2 linked regions of the Coturnix japonica genome follow. The protein of the gene in region 1 purifies or fractionates together with the protein of each later gene. This does not show direct contact. Links are inferred from orthologs where the notes say so. Each region holds a gene or a part of one and is shown on either strand. Other genes may lie near its edges. The genes, in order: SHPRH and RAD18.

Region 1 (10,814 bases):
ACATGAGTGATATATTAAACTTTTTTCTTATGATTCCTCACAATCCTTCCCCACAGAAGTGAAACACTAAAGATGAAGTGAAAAATGAGAGGTTTGAAATCCCATGGCTGCATGGTATTGTTTTGTGCATGCTGGGGAGTTAGCCTACTGGCTTACATGATTACTTTTGGCAAACAAAAACACTCTCTTCCTTATAGATCTCTGAAAAATATTTATATCTTCCACTGCTCCCTGAAGCAGTGTTATAGATGTGAATGGCAGCAATTCTACAATACACACTTAGAAAACCCCATTATGATAGCTTTTTGAAATACTTTTACTTTGAAATACCGAACACCATAGAAGGTGGGTAGAATTGATCCTACAAACAATTTCCTACCAGTGTACAGAATCTTGACTGTTAGTTTACTTATCTGGAACAGATTGAAGTCTCTATAGACCACAGACTGTGCTTCTGCTGTGGTTCATTTTTTCACTTCCTCTATACGGTGATTTCATTTGTAGAACTCAAAAGATTTCTCTTATTACTTAAGAAACCAATTAACACAGCGAGTGTTCCTTTACTTAATTCGCTGAGGCACACAGAGGCTCAGTAAGCTCTTCAGCACAATATACAGTCATTGCTGCACAAGGAACACAGTACATCTACCCTCCATTTTATTCTCATACTGCAACCATTCACACTTCCTTCTGCCACGGCCAATTTGGAGAAAAGTACCATCTAGATTTCTTTTAGAAAACTTCTGCTTGCTTTTTCAATTAAAATATCAGTATATAGAACTCTAAAATATTGTATGTTGACTACCATGTTGTTTTCCATCCACCCTCAAAAAAGAAAATTCTTACAAAGTTGCACGTTCGCTGCTTTTATTTGCTTACTCCTTCTGGAAAACAGGAGTTGATATTGAGAGCAAAGTGGAATTTGTTTCCACAAAGAAGAAAGTCTGTGTTCTCAGATGTGGTCAAAAAACCCCACACAGTCTTCTTTTATGTCACGTTTTCCTCTCTTCATACTGTTCCTTTCTATTTCATTAAATTAAATGGCAATTATCTTCTTTCATGCATTCATGTTCTATAGAACAGGAGGGAAATTACTAGGTACTAATCACTGGAATCCTTAGTTCTTAGTTGCTGAATACAAATGGGCATTCTTCCACTTGTTCTTGACCCTTATTTCAAAATAGAGCTCGTTTATCCTGAGAGTGAAGCTATTTCCTACAGAATGGGATTGATAGAAAAACAGAGACTTTGGAAGAAATCCTAATGCATAACAGGCACCCTCTTGGCGCACTGTATTTTCCCCTTTTTTGAAAGCAGAAAGGTTACTCTTGCTTACTAATTTTATGATGACACCCAGACAAGGTGATAAATGAAGTTCACTTTCACAAGTGCTTTTTATTTATAGTCTTTAAAAAACACAATCATTAACAAACAAAAGAAAACCAAAAAGCGCAAAAAAAAATGCCCAGCAAACCAAAGCACAAATACAAAGCCTGGAGAAGAAATGCATAATAGAGAAATACAACAGTTAATTAAATGATGAGAACTAAGAGATTCACAGCTGTTAGCCTGTGAACAAAGCCTGCTGAAGCACAGATTGTTGTCTGCTATTTCTACATGGATTCTTAAAGTGTATGCTGTTTGAGGAGTTTCTAATAATGGGTGACTGACTTGACTGCAATCTGTGATTTTTGTGCGTGGCTTATTTTTTCTTATTTTTTTTTTTCCTAAAGAAAATTCTTACAGAGAATCTGGTGTGATCTTTTGGTTTAAGCATTTCTGTCTGCTACTGTTTGTGCTGCCATATATTTCTGTCAGAGAAATCTAAGTGAAAAAAGCATTCTTTGCACTTTTTGTGGGAAGGATTTTAAGTTTTGATGGTCATCATGTCCTGGGAGAGCTAGAGTAAGGGCTAGGTAAATGGATACTGCTAGAATCTTTATTGGGTTTTTCAGTATGAAGGAGACTAGGAAAATTTCTCTGGATGATTCATCACCTGCTGGATGCAGAAGAGAAGCCCATGCCAAAAGTTTACAGTTCCTTCAGAAATTAAAAAAAATTAACTTAACAAAGAGCTTTTGGATGGCTGAAAATCCTGAATTGCAAAACTATGAGTTGGCAGGATAGATCCATCATGTTCAAGAAGGCTTTGCAGATTTATAATAGCATAAGGCATAGCAGTGTTCATTGTTAGCTTTATAGCTAGTTGTAGATATTAATAACACTTTCCTGTTACTAGCCTTAGGATTAGATTTGACAGCAGTTATGGATCCTTACAGGTAGCCCTTTAGGCTGCACACAAATAGTCTCTATCAGACAAGCCAGTGGATACAGGCCAGTTCCTGGCCAAGTGCCACAGCCTATATTGTACCTGAAGCCTTTAAGAAGGAGATGCAGCCAGTTTGCATTTAAGCAGGACTGACCTTCAGCATGAGAAGTATCCTGAAACATATTTTGCCCCTCCTTGTTGTGAATGCCTCTGCATTGTCTTTATAAGGGTACAGACCTGGAGTAACCTCTGGTTTCTAATCTCAACAACTAGACAGTCAGGTAGCACGATACTACTAATGCTAAATCAGAGACAAAACTTCGGAGCCAACCAAACTCAAAATAAAAGGGCAAATGATCCACAGTAAACTGAATAAATTATATATTTCATGTATTCGCACGTACCTTTGGTTAGGGGCTAAAGAAAAGAGGGTTTATTCCATCTGGAAGGTTTCCCTTCTCTTTCCCATTTCCCAGCGCTGGTGTAATCCAGATTTCATCAAGTGGAGGAGGACGAGCAGCACCCACAGTGGGTCCCAGTCTCTCATGCCAGCAGCAGGTGCAGAAACCTTGTATGAGGAGTCTCAGGTCTGAGGAAATCTCCCCAGTCCCAGACTGACAGTACAACACTTCTGTGGCCCATGCACTTCAGTAGCCATTAAGGGAGCAGTTCTCTAACTGCTTGAGCTCCTTTCACTGAAGAGAACCACTTAAGAACTGGAAAACCTGATGTTAACAACTTAAAGTGTGATCCTGGGTGTCATCCCTTGGTGGGAACAGTCTATCCAGGCATATGGCTGCTTGCCAGGATGTGGGAGTGAAACATGGCAGCTTCAGAAATTCCTAAGGAAGCATAGAGTGGTAATTGCTCGTTCTCTCACTTACTGAGTCAGCAGCTAACTCCCAAAGAGGCACATCCAGAAGACCAAGCCCTCCATTTAAAAGTAAAAACTAAAAAAGATCATCTAATGAGACCTTTTGGTCATGAAAAGACAGAAAGGCTCCCAAGGCAACTCTGAGCCAACAATGTGTGTGGCAATGCCCAGGCCCCATGTGAAGGCAGGTTCACACTCATTATTCACAGGTCTGGGCTACAGCCCTGTACATGGGTACTGTGGTGAGTTGCACTTGTAATTATCCAAACTTTCAACTTTTCAGACTAACAGAACCCCCACATCAGACTGCGGCCACTAATTCTTGTCCCCATCAAGGTGACAGCAGGGCTGGGCTACAGCTGCCCACAGCCCTGCCCCACTGCAAGCCCATGCCAAGGCCTCAGCCCACCCCAGCCCCCTGGTGCCATACTGCTGGTGAGTGGGGGGGGACAAGGTGGGCTGCAGGCCCTGCCCTGACAGAAGCACAGGCAGCTCTGACATCTCTATTTTCAGCTGTTAGAAGTAATGTTCCCAGCAGGTTATTTCCTCTTTGTCTCCCTTGCTATCTTACTCTGGTTACAAACGTATAATGAGGAGTATGAAGTAGCTGCCCATTTCACTGTCAATTTACAGTTGTAAAATGTGATTAAGTGATGATTTCAAAGCTAGTTTTCATGCAGGAGCATCTAGTGGCCACACAGCAACCCATGCACAGGGGAATAAAGCAGTCAACCTGCTGCCACAAGGGTGCAAGCATCCCAAATGCTCCTTCTGTGCTGCCTACCCAGGGCTGGGCAGCACAGGAGCACTACGGCTGGGAACAGTGGAGAACCAGCCACAAAAACAATCCAGTTGGCTTCATTTGTAGACTAGCAAATGGGCCGAGCAGCTAATAAAAGGAAAAGAAGCTCTGATTTTAAATGACTTTCCAATGTCTTTATTTACAGCCCTCACAAGCACACGCGTGGATCTGCTTATTTCAGAAGAAGATGAACATGCTCCTAGTTCCTGCAGAAATAATAACAACCACTTAAGGAAAATCTATCAGCCCCATTAGCAATGCTCCCTCCCCCGTAAGCCTGCGCACTCCGCCCCGCAGGCCTCATCCTCGTCCCCGCCCCTCTGTGGGCAAACACCACACTCCCCGCCCCTTTACCCAGCGGGGGCCGACTGCGCTTGCTCAGCCTCGGCGCTATCACGCTGCCGGCTACGTCCGTGTGCGAAGCGGGCCGAGCTGTCACCGTCAGCGGATTCCATTGGTTGCCCGGCAGGCCGTGCCCACCTCCCCCCCGTTCGGGGTCGTTCCTACCTCACTGTAGGCTGGAGCGTCCCTCCCCTCCTCCCCTTTCTCCTCCCCCTTCGCGGGAGACGAAACCGACGGGGTGAAGGCAGACAGTACCTTTTGTTCCTCCCCTTTCCCCTCCCCTCCCCGGTCTTCCTGTGCCGGACGTTGGTCGCACGGCCCTGCTGTGAGCGGGGAAGGAGCTTCGCGAGAGGGCGGAACGCCGCCTCACCCTGCGGTGCGTTGGTTGGTGGCTGCGCTCCGGGGGCCCTTCCGAGTCCCCGCTGTGGGAAAAGTCCGCCTGGCTTCGCGTAGCGCCCGGCGGGGGGCCCTCCTGGCGGCCTCTAGGGAACGGGCCTATTGGGCTCTGAGGGCGGGGGGGGCCGGACCATCTGGGGAATATCCGGTGTGAAGGAGCCGCACTGATGGCTGGAATCTTCCTGCTTCGGTTCTGATAGATGTTACCTCTTGGGGCTTGATTTCTAAGTGTCAGCAACTCTCTCGTCGCGCCTGAGTGCTATGATGGAAAAACATGAGGTGTTTTCTAACCTTAATTCTCCTACGTTTGAAATTCAGACGCAGCAATTGTTGAAGTAGCTCATAAGGAAACCCTCTATTTCAAACGACGAATGTTTGGTTTTTATAGGTTTGTCAAAAGTCAGGTGGTTTGTTTGTTTTTCTTGGGATTACCCTGTAACGTTAGAGTATGGAATACTGGAGTTAGTAGGTTAGATCCGCATCATCCAATGCTTCATCAGCAGTTGTGTCCCTGTTTTATTTACAGTCATATGCAGAAGTTGAGTTGGCATGAATATCTTAAGTATTTTTCTATCTTTACTGTTGAAGAAAGTGTGTTTAAAAAATGTGTTTAGTGCCCAAGTTGGAGGAGTACCTGGATTTAACTTTGTGGTTAGTCAGAATCAGTAAGGATATGTGTTTACTTTGCTTATTGGTCCCACTGAAATGCATGTGGAATAAGTAAGTGCTGTGCTGCAAGCAATTTGTATATTCAGGTCTCAAGATGTACAGGTTTATGGGGAGGTCGAGTCTTTGATACTTCTAGGAATGCCATTAAGGATTTCTAAGGACAGAATTTGAGCATTTGGGCTCTAAACTATAGGCTGGAGACAAAGCCCTCTGCTGAGTTTGCTTCAAGTGTACTTCCCATGTAATTTTTGAAGGAAAAGGAAAAATATGTGCCTTCTCCCCACTCCCGCCTCCAAATCTCCTGTTCACCCTGCCTGCTTGTTTATGATGTCACTTTTACTGTCTCCCACCACCCCTACCATTGAGAGATTCCAGTGCTTCTGTTTTTATATCTGTCCCACAAGAGTCTCAGTAACAGCTTTGAAATGCAGCATTCTTGTTGATCTTGCTCTGTAACTGTCTGGCAGAATGAAACAGACTGTGAAGAAAGTGCTTGGTGTCCAGTTTCTTTTTGTGTAGGAACAGGAGATGCTCTGTAAAACAGTGTACTAAAGAGTTTAGCAGTTCCTGCACAGTGAACTTTTAATGCGGGTGTTTGATTTTGCAGTACTTATCACTGACTAATATTAATTTATCTCACAGAGACTGAAAATACCGCTGAGAAAAACGACAAAATGAGTAGTCGTCGAAAGCGTGCACCTCCATCAAAGATAGATGAGGCGGGAAAGAAACTGCTCTGTTGGAACATGCATGAGGACCGGAGAAATGAGTTGATAACATTAGATGATGAATTGACTACTGGGGATGATGTTCCAGGTCCCAGCACTTCTTCTGCATCCTTCTTTGTAATAAATGATGATAGCATTGATGAAGATCTCATTCAAAAAGCTGACAGTCATTCAAAATCTGAGAAGTTTTTGACAGCTAATGATGGTGAAGACTCTAATTCCACCTCGACTCCCATGTCAGTACAGCTAAATATTGTAGTCTCGCCATACCGTGCGGATGGGTCCTGGAAAGTTTTATTGGGAGAACTTACTTTTTATCTTCCTTCTGAGCAAATTGCAAGTGAGGAATTCCATGAAAGGAGCTTTACGTTAATCAGAGGAGACTCTGACAATCACCTGCTGGTCTGTGTCCATAAAAGAAGCGAAGAAGAGTACAGTAATGGAGCAAAAGAATGCCTTGATGCTTACGAGCAAATTGTTTTGGTGGAACCAGCTTTAGGTGGTGAAATATTGGAAGGCTTGAGGTGGTTGCAAAATAAAAAGATAATTGGACTTTATCAAAGACCTGGAGAGGGTCAAGCTCTAAAGGTATTGATTCTTATATTCATTTTTATTGGTTGGAACTATATATATATACATATACCATATACGTATATGCGTACACACATGCACACACACACACACACACATAAAAGTAAAGCCACTAACAAGTCTGGCAGCTATTGTATTTTTATAATGTGATGAGATATATGGTTTCTACATCCTTTTGCAGATGTTTTTCATGTGTCTTTTTTTTTTTTTTTGTTCCCCTAAAACTACCTTTTACTGTTGCACTCCTACTTATGTATTACTTAAGGAATCAAGGGAACTTTTGGCTATGATATTTTGTATCTTTCACAAGGCTAGTTTGGTCAGTTCATTGTACCTATTTGCTTCTGCTAATTTTGACAATGTGGTAGTTAAGGTTAGCACTATTATTTTCATGTTCTTCTATTTATAATATTCTTGGTGTCCAGCTAATTTATTAAATGATTAATTTTATAACCATTTCTTAGGTTGGAATCTACCTTCTGGAAGCAGGGCTAAGTAAACCAGAGTTTCTCAGTGATGGAGGTGGAAGACCCAAAAAAGCTAATCAGCTAGTTCAAAAACTCATGGAAAAGTTCTATAGTTTTATAATTCCAGGTAATGTGATTTTATTGAATGTTGATGAATAATTTGAAGTATAAAACTGTCACTTTAATAATTGTAAATGTAAGGGACGTTTTTAAGTTGTTCCTGTCCTCTAGAGCAGCTGTGTTTTTAGTAATATTGTTCACTGTTAGTCTTCCTGTGCTAATATCTGGTCATTAATCATATATTAATTAACTTATGGTTATACATAATAACATTTCTTCTCTGCACATAAGGCACTGAGGCATATAGAAGCTTGAGACCTTACTGTCTGGGGAGTAAATGTAACTTTCACTAATTCTTATGAATTGTTTGACTAGATTTAGGGTGACTCATCCAAGTTACATAGGAGCTGTTTTAAAAAAGAGAGGAATTAAACTCCTTAACCATTTGTTCCTAGGTCAGTGCCCAATACAACAACTCTGGCGGCAAAACTTTTGTTGGAGTTGTATTCTGAAGTCGTTATAATGAAAATTGCATTATAGATTTACACACAAATGAAGGAGATGTCTGCCCTTATCCCTACATTTTGTTTTTAAGTACTTATTTTCCTCAGTGTACCCATCCTGTTCATGTCCTTGTAGATGGTTTAATTTTAGTTTTCTGAGAAGAATGTTACACAGTGGGTTTCTCTCCAGTTCTAGAGAGGCTTTGTATCTTTCCTTGAACTGCAGAGTTGTACAGCTGTTCCTGGGTAAGTACTAAAAGCTGTTTTACTGGTACCATTTCTTTTATTTGAGACCTAAAACATAGTTGGAACTTGTCCATTAAGTCGTTTGTTGCTTGGTCTTACTTCAGTTTCCTAAAATTTTGACCCTTGAATTTTTTCATGAATATTTGTTCTACGGTGCTGAAGTTCTGCATATGCCCATACATGCAGATTTTGTTTGAAATACAAGACCTTTCTAAGTCTTCTAGATGTACATCTCTTGAAGCTAGATTGTAATTCCTGAAGTATGATTTGTTGGATTTCTTACAGTGATGCAAAGGGTAAGACTCGCATGTTGTCACACTGTTGCCATTTTTTTGATCAGACAAATAATTTAAAAGTAACACTTAGGCTGATTGAGTAGATTTTTCTTGATGTTTTTGATATGTTCTCTTATCAAGAAAGGGCTTATTTCTTGAAAAATGTACAAATCTTTTGCCCACAGTTATTTTCCCCCCTCTCTTTCTCTAAGAAGACCAACCCATTTAGGGTACTGCTTGATGGACTTGATGATATTTGAGGTCTTTTCCAATCTGAGTAACTCTATGATTTAATCTGAAATGTGATTTAATCTGAAATGTATGTTATTTGTGATCCCGTATGAGGTAAAAATGTTTAGGAGAAGGTGCTTGTAAAATTAGACTTAGTCATGCTATTCCTGAATTCTAAGAATAGAATAGAATCATAGAATTGCTCAGGTTGGAAAAGACCTTAAAGATGATCAAGTCCAACCACAAGCTAACCATACTACCCTAACTCTATCAACCTTCTTCTAAATCATGTCCCTGAGCACCACATCTGAATGGTTTTTAAACACGTCTAGGGATGGTGACTCAACCACCTCCCTGGGGTGCTTAAGGGAAGAGCTTTACCAGTTATGTATGTCTCTGTCATGGCTATAGTGTGTTAACATTAGCTTTTAGGAAACTGCTGGTAGCTTAGTCAGGTGTAATCATGACTTATATTTAGAAGAGGTTTTGCTTTCATTTCCTATTTAGATAAGCTGCAGCAAAACTTACTGAAATGTTGACCAAAAGTGAATGATAATGCATTTATTGTGTATGCAGATGTGTTGGAGGAAGATGAGGAAGAATCTGACATGGAGCTAGAGCGGCAAAATATTGAAGAGCTTTATGACTTTGTAAGGCATACACACCAGCAGGATGTCCAACTACTGAGAGAGGATGTGCAGCATCCTGCCTTAATTCCCATTCTAAGGCCATACCAAAGTGAAGCTGTGAATTGGATGCTTCACCGAGAGAACTTCACAAGCACTCCAGGTGGTGGCAAGTATATGGGACTTGAAAACTTGTATAGTCAAGGAAAATGGCATTGCATTGTTAGTGGAATGTCTTATTGCTATTTCATTAGAAGTTTTCTTAATTGTTTTATTACCATTTTTATAAAAGCTGTTGGGTAGTTGTATAGGTGGTAACTACAAGGGTGGGAACAAATGTACAGAAGATATAAGTAAAAGAGGAACTCACCAATAATGACACTTCAGCTGAAGGAGCTAGGGCAATCTTCACTAGCAAGTGATCTCCAATAGATGCTGCCTCAGTGAGGGTCAGCCCTTAAATGAGGTCTCAGAGGAGGTGGAGTCAAGCTCCACCCCTCCTGGGAGCACAGCTACATTACTCTTACCTGTGCTCCCGCAGCTGACCCCACACTTGCCCCAGCTGATTAATCAGTGGTTCACGCTGTGATTACCGGTCTCCCATACAGTAGTACAGTAGATGAGAAAATAAACCTGCTTTGAGCTGCAGCTGTTTGGTCTTGTTGCTCACCAAGCGTGGTGAAGGTAGATGTCTGCCTTTTGTGTTTAAGTGTCACTGTATGGCTAAGTGGTTCTAATTAGTGTGCTGTTTGCGGAGAAATCTTTGTCATAGTAACATGACCTCTTTCTCTATAGAAAATGCACTGCATTTCTTATGGCGAGAAGTCATCACTCTGGATCGAGAAAAAATCTACTATAATCCCTTTACTGGCTGGTATGTTTTTGTGCTTATCTATTTCTGAGAACACCCCAAGGATTTTATATTTATTTATTTATTATTATTATTATTTAATTATTTTTTAAAGGCAAACTTGCTTATATAACACATAAGTAAATCTTGAGGACATAATTCTTAAAGCTGCTTGTCTTAATTTCAGTACAGATGTATATTTACAAGATTAGTGCTATAATTTGAAAACAGTGCTAGAGTCTTCAGCCTTTATGTTTGATGCTTCAAAACGCTAAAAGAAGGAGGCAATATAATGCCTGGAACAGGCTGCCCAAGGACGTTGTGGATGCCCCATCCCTGGAGGTGTTTAAGGCCAGGTTGGATGGTGCCCTGGCCCTTATGATCTAGGAAATGTGGAAGTTTGGTGGCCCTGCCAGGCAGGGGGTTTGGAGCTTCATGATCCTTGTGGTCCCTTCCAACCCAGGTCATTCTGTGATTCTGTGTGATAACATCTATTAATGCTGGATGTTGCATTTATGAGGGCTGTTCTGAAAGTAATGCTTCCTATTTTATGTTGGCCCGTTATGTGACTGTAGAGGTTGAACTTCCCACCAACATTCGATTAAATGTTGTTGCCATGTGACAGATGGCAGTAGAGGGGGCAGTCTGGCCAACATGGTGTCTGACACAGAAGTGCAGATGAAGCATGGAACTAAATTCCTCAGTGCAGAAAAACTTGCATCCATTGACATTCATTGATGCTTGCTGGACACTAATGGAGGCCAAACAGTGGATGTCAGCACAGTAAGGTGGTGGGTTTGCTGGTGCAGATTTTTGCAACTGCTGCATGCAAGTTCTTTTTCATGGCTGGTGAAATGTGGGGTTGTGACAGTGCTGAAAAAGTGT
Region 2 (10,147 bases), on another chromosome or scaffold:
TTTTTATGAACTGCTGAATAAATTTATCTAATTACAGCATTTCTCAACAGAACAGCTTTAATGTGGAGACGAAGGCAATTAAAATTAAAAGGAGTAACTGCACTTATAGGGAACAGTGTTTAATCTCTGCACCAATTACCAATCCCACCACTCACAGCACCTGGAGGAGTGAGCACAGCCCAAATCCCAGCACCAGACGTGGGTGCTTTGAGGGTATGTCAGGGAACCCCAGCACGCCCAGGGATTTCTTACTGCATTACTACACATGAAATGCTCAAAGGAAAAACCACAGGAAAGCACGCTGTAAAAACAATGGTGATGGGGTAAGCTGAGAAGTCTAGCAGGTTTATTTTTACTCTCAAAATGTGCACTGTCAAGAATTCATCTCCAGCACACAAGCTGGATGCCCAGGGAATGAGTTATCTTACTTCTGAATCCTGCCCTCTACTCCAGTTACATTGAAAGAAAAAGCAGTAGGAAGACATTAGCGTTTGGTTCCCTAAAATAGAAAAAGAACAGGTTTGATGACTGAACATCATGTACTTTATTGCCCTGAAAAATCTATTCTTATTATCATTAATCACCAACTGTTTGTCACAAGCGAAATAATAAAAGTGAGAAGATTTGGCTAGCACTCAGCACAATAATGCACATTCATAATTTGCATGCATATTTCTAAGTTTATGCCCACCAAACTATTTTAAAACCAGGCCCAAAAAGTGCTGGAGTTACTTACCACCTCAAAACGTGCCTGCATAAGAGAACTGGATACCAACACAAGAAAGGTCTGAGCCCTACACAAACCAAGTCAACTCCTGCACTTCCATTGTACGGAGAGATGAAGGACACTGCACCTGAGTGTACACACAGACCTCAGGGCTATGAGCTCCCCAGACATGGCCAAACTGCCCTTTGTTTCAGCATTCCTTCAAACACAGCCATCATTCCAAGGCAGTCACTCACTAAGATAGTTCCCTATATCTAGTCTGTGTTAAACATCAGCTTCTTCAACAAAGATCAAGCCACGTCTTGATGCTGAGCTGCTGTGATTACACACTTCATACTATTTTCCACGTGTGGGGAGAAAAAAACAACTCTAAATGGATAACTGCAAAACAACTATCAAAAAACCTTTTCCAGCTCTTTATTGAAATGCTGACTATTAAACCAAAAGGGATACTGACCAACTGAGTTCAAATTTTTAAACAATTTTGTTTTGTGGAAAGCTTCCAATATCTCCTTATTGTTGAACAACCTGCATTTAAACTGAAGAAAATGAACGAAATTGAAAAGAAACAGCTACCTCGATCTGCATGCTGGTTTTACACATTTCAGTGTACAGTTTTACTCGTTCCTTCGGATGCTTCTGCCTTCCCAGTACAGCCAGCAGGCACACAAAGGCCAGGCAAGGCACAACACATCTTCAGGCTTCATTTGGGCTCCAAATCCAAGACAATTACCTACAAGAAGTCTTTTGTCCTTCCCTTTAAGGAAGATTATTCTTCCTATCTTACATTGAGAATTCCAGATCAGTAAATTCACACAGCAAAACCAGTAAAGCTCTGAGATGTAAGTGCTTGTGGTGTGGAGGGCTGAGGAGCACAGTGAGGGCATGAAGGATTCCGCTGCAGCACCCACTGCTCCTGCAGGCTGAGGGTCAGCTTCCTCGGGGCACTTACAGGCAGTCAGGAGCGAACTGTTCCTTCCTCCATCATCAGCTGAATTTTACTCCCCCTCGCCCTTTGTTAGTGATGTTTCGGTTTTGTTTTGCTCCTTAAAAGATAAACACCACCATAAAAATAGAGAGAAGAAAGCTGACGTAAGTGTGAATAACATGTCTCATTCTAAAAATGAAAGGAGTAAACATCTCTCTGAACATGTTTGCTTTATGGCAAATTAAGTTCCCTCTTGGCTGCCCAACGAGCAGTGCCCTTTCATCAGCCCATCCTGCCCTGCACTCCGGCACATGCACAGAGCAGTTCTCGCTGTTAGCACCAAGTGAGACTCTCACTTCACCAGCACCATTTGAAGGCGAATACCCAGCCACAAGGAGTGCTTGCTCCCATTCCAGACGCCAGCCTGCCTGTGACAAACAGCCCTAGCATGCAGGGCATCAGGCAGACAAGGCAACATTGAGTGCTGGTCCCCTCACTTGTTTTCAGGGCTCAAAGGTGCCCAAAACCACAGCTGCAGCTGATGCTCTGGCACCTCTCCTATGCAGGCACTGTTCTCTGCACAAACCAGAGGCCAGCAGCTGGCCCCTTTGGAAATGGCCTCTCTAGGACTCCACCCACAGCCCCTGCAGCTCTGTGTCCATACACTACAGCTCACAGTTGTTGGAACAAAGGTATGAATTAATAGCAGAGAAGCAACATCATCCTTATGCAATGGACTCACATTTCAGCCAAAAAACAAGCAAACAAACAAACAAACAAACAAAAAAATCAAAGACAAAACGCTCCCATCTAACATTTGATGTGCACCACAGCAGCACAAGATTCATTAACTCAGAACTGAACTACAGAACTGAAAAGAAACAGCTACTGCCCCTGGTCTCACACACTGCCTCATGCCAGAGAAAACCAGCCCAGGACCAGGACAGCATCCTGGTTATCCCTATCTGCAGTGCCAGGAAGTCCCCCCACAGCTCTCCCGGACACCCTGCACTGCCAGCTCTGACAAAACCATGTCTGTGAGAAGCATCCAGGGGATGCTGCCATCCAGCACCCTACAGACTGCAACCAGAGCATACTATGCCCTCTCCAGCTCATGAACTAAAGCTCAACTTCTGCAAAGCACCTAAAGCCAAAGCAAGTGACCAGCTAAAAGCAGACCTTCTTCCTGATCAATAGCTGTCAAGCACAATGCCAAGAAGTCCCACTTAGTGCAAACGAGTGTCCTGGCTTGGGCAAGGAGCTCAGCTGGCAGTGCTGCAGTAGCTCCGTGTATCCCGGAGGCAGAGATTTACACAAGCTGCAGATACAGCACTTTTGAGTCAGTGTTTCAAAATTAAATCACCCTGTTTCACTGTACAATATAATACTGTTAGACGAGGCCAAAGATATATTGTCTGTGCTGCAAGTCCTCCACTCTGCTCCTCAAGAACTGATGCTCTCTTCTAACAGCAGTTTTAAACCGAAATAATTTGTTTAAATGACCGAATGTTATCTCAGTCTTATGGAGTACTTTTAATAAAATATTTCCTCTGTGTGGTTCATTAACTGGCTTATCACTGTCCCACCTACCTTCTTTTCTCATTTTTCTATTGTTCAAATTCTTGCATAAAGCTTGGCTTCAGTCCCAGAAAGTAAAAGAACACAGTGGGACTATTTATATGGAGCACTAAAGTTCCATGAAAGCTTTATATATGACTTCACAGCTTTGAAAAAATATCCTTTAAAAGTCAGGGCTTTGTCCCGCTGTTTATCTATTACGAGCATTTTGCCTCGTTGGTGGGATCATCAATTTCTGAAAAGACCAAACACGTCTGGATCGATGCTGCCCTCCCTACATGTTTTACCTCTTCTCCAGCAGGCATAGAGTTCTCCTGTCCTCATGTAGAGCAGTGACTTCTGAATAACATCAGCACTGTCATGAGTACAACAGATGTATGGATGTACTGTAGGTCCAACTGCTCCCTTAGTTGTATAAAATAGAAGGTTTATTGGTATTGGATTGAAAAGGGGTACAAGTTCTTGTGAAGGACAGCACGTAGGAATCACCAAATCACTTTCAGTGTAGTTAACAGAACAAAGAATTCAGCTCTCTGCCTTTGTGACTGGCTGTATTCCATTTGCTGCTCAAAATCCAAATTTTCTTTTGATGCATCACAGCATCAGGACTCCATATAAAAGTGTTCTCTACGTGCTTAAAAGTACAGCACGCACATTGAGACTCTCAAGTATATTTCAAGTTTTGACATTTCAATGTGAAATAAGATCCCCCTTGTCAGAGGATATCCTCTTATTATAAGAAAATGTAAGTCTCCGAAAATCGTATCTTGATGCAAAAGCACAATGCTATGGACCACCCCACTGTAAATCATTCTTTGTTTTCACGACACTTCAGAGAACATTAACTCCATGGCAGCCAGAGAGCGACACAACATATAAAAAATACACAAAAAAAAAAAACCCAGCACCACTGCAGTGAACTTCCTGACCAACACAGTCGCTAACTTGTAAGGTTACGCAAACTGCACTAAACTTAAACAAATATAAACATGCTGCATGTACAAAGCAGAGAGCATCTACAGAGCAAGAAAGCAAAGAGAAAAGTCCCAGAGAGATTCTGAAAAAGCAGTTCTGTGCTACAGAATTTGAAGTGAATAAGCCACAAAAAGTGTGTCTGTTGGCTTACGTTTGTTTTTTTTTTAAAGAGTTCCAAATATCTGAGACATACAGACTGGTCTTTGCAGCTGTGAGATTCTATATTTGAGTCAAGAAATCTATGGAAATACTTAATTTGGAGAGAGTGAATACATGCAAAGAAGTAACAAACAGCTTCGTTCTGAGCCAGACATGACGCAAACAAACATGTGCTTTCCAACAGTATCTGCCAGCTTGCTTCGTGAAAGCACATTCAAACCATCAGTAGCAGCTACATGCTGATACCCTACAGCAAACTGCCTCTTCAACACACTTTCATCCAGACTTGAGAATAATAAACATAAGTCTGCAGACACAGAAAGGTACAGAATGAGAATGTAACTGTGATGCCAAAGGCCACAGGAGGGTCACTCAGGGTATTATTTATATACCTAGTTGGCAGAGGAGCAGATTTAATGATTCCTTGGATGAGCCAATGAAAGGAAAACTTTCTCACTCTGTCAATTGAAAATTCGAGATCTTCCAGGGTGTTTAATGCTAAAAGGAGAGCGTGCAGTCAAAAAAGAAAAAATAAATTTAAAAAAAAAGGAAAAAAAGAGTGAAACAAGAACAGGAATATCTCATTCAAGTTCTGGATAAGAAATCACCTGGAGGGCATTTATTTTGTGCAGCTGCTATCACCAGAGCCCCAGGGACAGGTGCCTTGCAGACACAGGGGGGAGGAAGCAGCTCCATGTGCCATCTGCACACATGTCCAATATGACACCTGAAACTGGAGAGCTTCTGCCTGGGCTCCCATCTACTTTGCTACACAACCAAAGCACAGACCCAGGCACCACACAGCTCCCAGCAGCACCTGCCAGCAGCACAACAGTCAGTGCCAAAGCTGCCAGTTGCAAAGTTGAGGTTTTAGCACATGAAAACAGCCTGAGGAACAAGGCACCACATCAGCTCCTTCCTTCCAAGTAAGGGTCCAGGAGTTGCTCCTCCAGGCCAAGCCATCCTCAGAACAGGTCATGCATAGAGCACCTCCAGGAAGCTCCTGCACCCAAACAGCACAGGCATGGAGATGCTCTCAGGGTGCCAGTCCTGCCAGCACAAGGCTCAATTCTCTGGTGCACCAAACAGGCCAGGATGTGTACCAGAAAACTAGTTATCCCACTCAACCACTTTCCCTTTCCCTCTAGAAGCTGAGCCTACAACACCCAGTACTGAAAAAGACGTTTATCTTAGCATGAATCATCTTCAACAATCGATAGAGCAGTACCTAGCAAATTGTGATCTATGAAGCATGTGTTTTCAACAGACACAAACTCCATCTTCAAAAACTATGCAGGTAGATCTTGAAGCAGTAGAAGCTGAGGCTCTTTTCAATAACACCAGCACTGAAGTACCAAAACATTTATAAAACCTTCCTCGATTCTTCATTTCCTGTGACCAAATAAAGCCACTTCAGTAAGCAAAACTAAATGAATTAAGAAGGAAAAGTAAATGGATGTCAGGACTTCAAGGTTCAATGACATTCTATCCCTGCCTGAAAGTAATGGGTCATTTAAATTCTATTTCTCATAGCAACACTCGGCTCCAAGAACCATTAAAAGATTTAGGCAATATCAATTTTTGTTTGAAGATTTATTTAAAGAGATGATGCAGTAAGAGAAACATCAGACATTCTCCTGGTCCCACAGCCATTTCACTCACTTTTCTGTACAAAAAGGAACATTTCTACTACAGTGCTTCTATCAACCCATTACTAAGCTATTAAGAGAATCTGAATGCATCCTGCAAGCAGCTGAACAGACAGAAACGTGGAAGAGAAGGAATGAATAACCACAGCTGAGAATCACCTCCTACAACGCAGAGTATAAATACAAATGGCCCAGTATCCATGCCAAAGTTTCTTCACTTTGGTCTAATGGAGTAATGAGAACAGACTAACTAGACTAACCGTGCTAACCTGCTCGATGATCCGGATGAGACTGAGGATGCAAGAGAGACCGAGCCCTGGCCTTCCTCTGAGGAATGAGGGTCACTTCTTTTGCCATCAGGAGATCCTGGTTTGAGTTCCTGGGCTTCTCCAAGGACTGAAGCCGAATGATGCTCTTCAAGATCTTCCCCTATCAAGAAAAACAATATCACTTATTTTTTTGCTGCCTGAAGACAGACTTTAAGAGAAACAAAAGGTGTAAAGCATTTGTATACTGACACCTCATTCCTACTCACTTCCCAAACTCTCACAGCTTCAAAAGGTTTTTTTTTTTTGTTTTTCATGTTGTTTTTTTGTTTTTTTTTTAAACTACAGCAGAAAAAGAGCCAACAGCAACAAAAAAGCGGAAACAACAACAAACAATCCCTAAGAACCAGAGCCTGAAACAGAAATATTCCCTTGTTATGAGTCTCAAATAGAAACAAGGAGAGAAATAAAGGGTAAGGTTATTTGTCACATTTCAGAAATTAGCAAACACTTAATGAGACAGCTCCATCCTCCGGTTCTTGCAGCCAATTCACTTCACTCATTGCATAAGACATCTTGATAGCTTCAGTTTCACAGATCGAGATAATAGGCTTGTTTTCAATAAAAGAAACATAATGATTTATTTTCTTTTGCATGCAAGAAAGATGATATGTCAGAATAGATCATCAGCATTTCCGTTCACTCTTATAGGAAAGAACATTTCTAGACAATGGAAACGAATTGTAAAGCCATCTATTATTTTCCTATCAAATATTTTCATCTATTAGAAGATGAACAGTTCTCTCAAGAGATGCCTCCTACATCACCACATAGGTAGTAAATATAGACTAGGAAGTATGATACAAAAAGAAAACTTGCTTTTATGCGCTGCCCACAAGTACTTTCAAATGAGTTATTTAAGCAGGAAGCTGCAAGGGATATTAAAGCCATACTGAGACTTGTTAATAATTCAAGGCAGTTCACAGAGGTGTTTTCTCTGCACCCACGCCTCCCAAATTATATTCCTGCTCAAAACACTTCCACTTTAGTACCTCTACAGGGATTTTTGACAGAACTGGCCAAACAGAACCATAGCCACAATGTGGAAAAGCTACACAATCTATGAATTGTGCTCGAGTTTGCCCTTTCCCCTATGCTAAAGGGCATATTTAATTGTCAGGAGCATATTTCTGTCGGTTGAAAACAACCAGCAGATTACAGTGAGTCAGCTGTCTAACTAATGCAGCATTACTGACATCAGGAGATTAAAAATAAAGGTCCAATACAATAACACAGCTCAAAATAGATGCATCAAAAGTATTTATCAATTTCTTACAGTACTTCCACTGAGCAGTGCAAAATCCTACATTCATCAGTTATAAAAACAAAAACAAAAAAATAATTAAATTTCCTGTCTAAGTTTGAAGATGTGAAATAAGATCACGTGAATTAAGAAGGGATGATTAAAACATTATGACAGAGCAAGATTTTGAGAGAGAAATAAGTTACATCCATTAATACTACAGTTAAAGGCAATGGGAGATATTAAGGTTTAAAAAATAATGTTTTAATTCTGCATAGTTCCAGGATCTACCATCTATCTCTTTCAGACTCTGAAGAAGTGGGTAAGGAATGCATACAAAGCCTTTGCTCTTCTTGGAAGTAACGTTTTCCAACAGCAAGTCATCAGACCAGTGCCGGCTTTCTTTCTTTCAAAGTTATAATCTCCAATTTAATAAAAAGGTACGTGCTGTTAATAACAAACATGGAAGAAGAAAAGGCCTGAGCCTTCCGTTCCTTCACCCGAAATCTTCATGCTTTCCTTGCTTTTCTCAGCAGCTTAATAAACAGCCAACTAGGTACATCTGTTCAGCACAAAATGAGAAACTAATTTCAAGGATTATTCGCATGCAAAATTTCAAAGACTACAGAAAGCACAAGAAGAGTAACAAATCTTTCAAAGATATGCCAGACCCAGATGAGGGCGTGTCATCTGCTTAAGCCAACCCAATACAGGATGATACGGCTCTTGCAAGTTACTTTCTGCCTGAGCACTCTTGGAAAAGCTGCATGGCTTTACTTAGGTTCTCAAAGCCTGCAGTTCAGGGCACAAGGAAAAAGAAACTCAGGAGCCAATCTCTCCACTGATGATAGCAAGAAATTAATATTTCAGTCTGTGATCCCATTATCTAGTAGCACATTGCTTCTGTCTCTGCTATAGAAGAGGGACACCACTGTAAGTTACATCAAATGAGTCAAGCTTCATCCTAGAGATTCCTTACCTTTTACCTTTCATATGGAAAAGATTGGGCATTGCATCAAGATCTGCATGAAATGATAAGGATAGAATTCATACTACTTCACTGACATTTCATTTCTTTTTATTCTCTGCTGGAGGTGACAGCACAGGAGACAGCCTCATACCAGAGAGGAACACAGCTCAACTCAGGCAGCACAGAGATGTGTGAGGGCTGCTACAAAATGATCTGCCATATTTCCCCAAGGAATACAGACAGCAGCACATCCAATTCTGGCCGATGGAATGCTCTTTGAAATTCAGCATCCTGAATACACCTTAATTCCACAAATATTAGCCCAATGACTGCTTTTCTGAATCACACATCCAAAACTGACCGCATGCTGCCACAGCAAACAATGCCATAAAACAAATGAGACTGAATAAGACTACAGGGAACAAGTTAAAAGCACATGGAGGTGTTTCTCTGATGCGGGCAGTGAGGACAACAAACATATGCTGGATGCTCCTCCTAACTCCAAGTATATCTGCTGAACTGAGTGTCTGCAGCTGTGCATTCCCACTTCTCACTGTGCTGAAGGATACGGATACAAAATGAAGCAAGTTAAAAAAAAGAAAAAAAAGGAAAAAAAAAAAAAAAAAGAGAGGTAAAGTACTGCACAAACATTCCACAAGAAGCCAAAGTACTTTACTCCTTCAACCTCAGGACAAAAAAAAAAAAATACACTTGCTCCAGCCCAAACATCTCCACAGTTCTGACTCCTTATCATGCTAATAATGCAGCAATGCAGGCAATACCCACAAGCACCTTCATTTATACCATGTGCCCATTACTAACTGGTACATGTGGCTCAGAACCTAATGCCCCATTTACATCTGCTAGGTAAAATATGCATCTGCAATACAGCGCACGTGTAAACAATCACATTAAAATCAAACAAATTGCACATTTACTGTGAGTTGTGCTTAAGAATCACACTAGAATCAATGGCAATCCATCTCTTCAAGGTCTGTTTGATTTCTATGTTTGTTTGTTTTAAGGTTAAGAACTGTGGGAGAAGAACAAGGGAAGGAAAGAACATTTCTGCAGGAAATGCACTGATCAACACAGGAGGCAGGAAGGTGGAGTGGGATTACATTAAACAGCACCACTAACCTGTGCCTGCTGGCAATCCTACGACAGTGCCTTCTTCTTTCTTTCTCATGTTTTTTGTTTTCCTCTTGCCACTCTTCTCCCACCGATTTTTTGCTTGATCCACTAAAAATTGAAATTCGCTTTTGTGTTTGTTTCCTGAAACATAAAAACGTGTTGCTGTACAGCCAGCAGGCAGAGCCCTGCCACAGAACTGCTGGGGCAAACCAGAAACAAGTGAAAAGAACACGGAATAAGCACAAAATACTGAATAAAAAACATTTTTGTTACAGTAAATGAAAATTAACCCACACTGCAGTGTTCCACATCCTGTTAACAACCCAAATCCATGCTTGTGCCCTCAGCAGCCAGAATATTTGCATAAACAAAATCTCAGATTTTTGCACCATAAAACTGTGTTTGTTTCCTCTTCACGTCACCACATTCCTGTTTGTTTGTTTCTCTAAACCCATTAA

What was found.
Region 2: the proteins of SHPRH (region 1) and RAD18 purify together in Homo sapiens (affinity purification with western blotting; 3 studies listed by BioGRID and IntAct, with this or other methods). This does not show direct contact. The link is inferred for Coturnix japonica from reciprocal best matches to the Homo sapiens genes SHPRH and RAD18.

The regions. Positions count from the first base shown.
Region 1 is NC_029518.1:41,935,413-41,946,226, reverse strand, and holds the start of SHPRH (E3 ubiquitin-protein ligase SHPRH), read left to right. Parts: upstream 1-4,555; 5' UTR 4,556-4,663; intron 4,664-5,994; 5' UTR 5,995-6,026; coding exon 6,027-6,668; intron 6,669-7,135; coding exon 7,136-7,265; intron 7,266-7,274; exon of another isoform or gene 7,275-7,865; coding exon of another isoform or gene 7,866-7,947; intron 7,948-9,029; coding exon 9,030-9,248; intron 9,249-9,874; coding exon 9,875-9,953; intron 9,954-10,814. UniProt on the Homo sapiens protein: E3 ubiquitin-protein ligase involved in DNA repair.
Region 2 is NC_029527.1:16,629,625-16,639,771, forward strand, and holds part of RAD18 (E3 ubiquitin-protein ligase RAD18), read right to left. Parts: intron 9,831-10,147; coding exon 9,696-9,830; intron 6,446-9,695; coding exon 6,286-6,445; intron 1-6,285. UniProt on the Homo sapiens protein: E3 ubiquitin-protein ligase involved in postreplication repair of UV-damaged DNA. Postreplication repair functions in gap-filling of a daughter strand on replication of damaged DNA.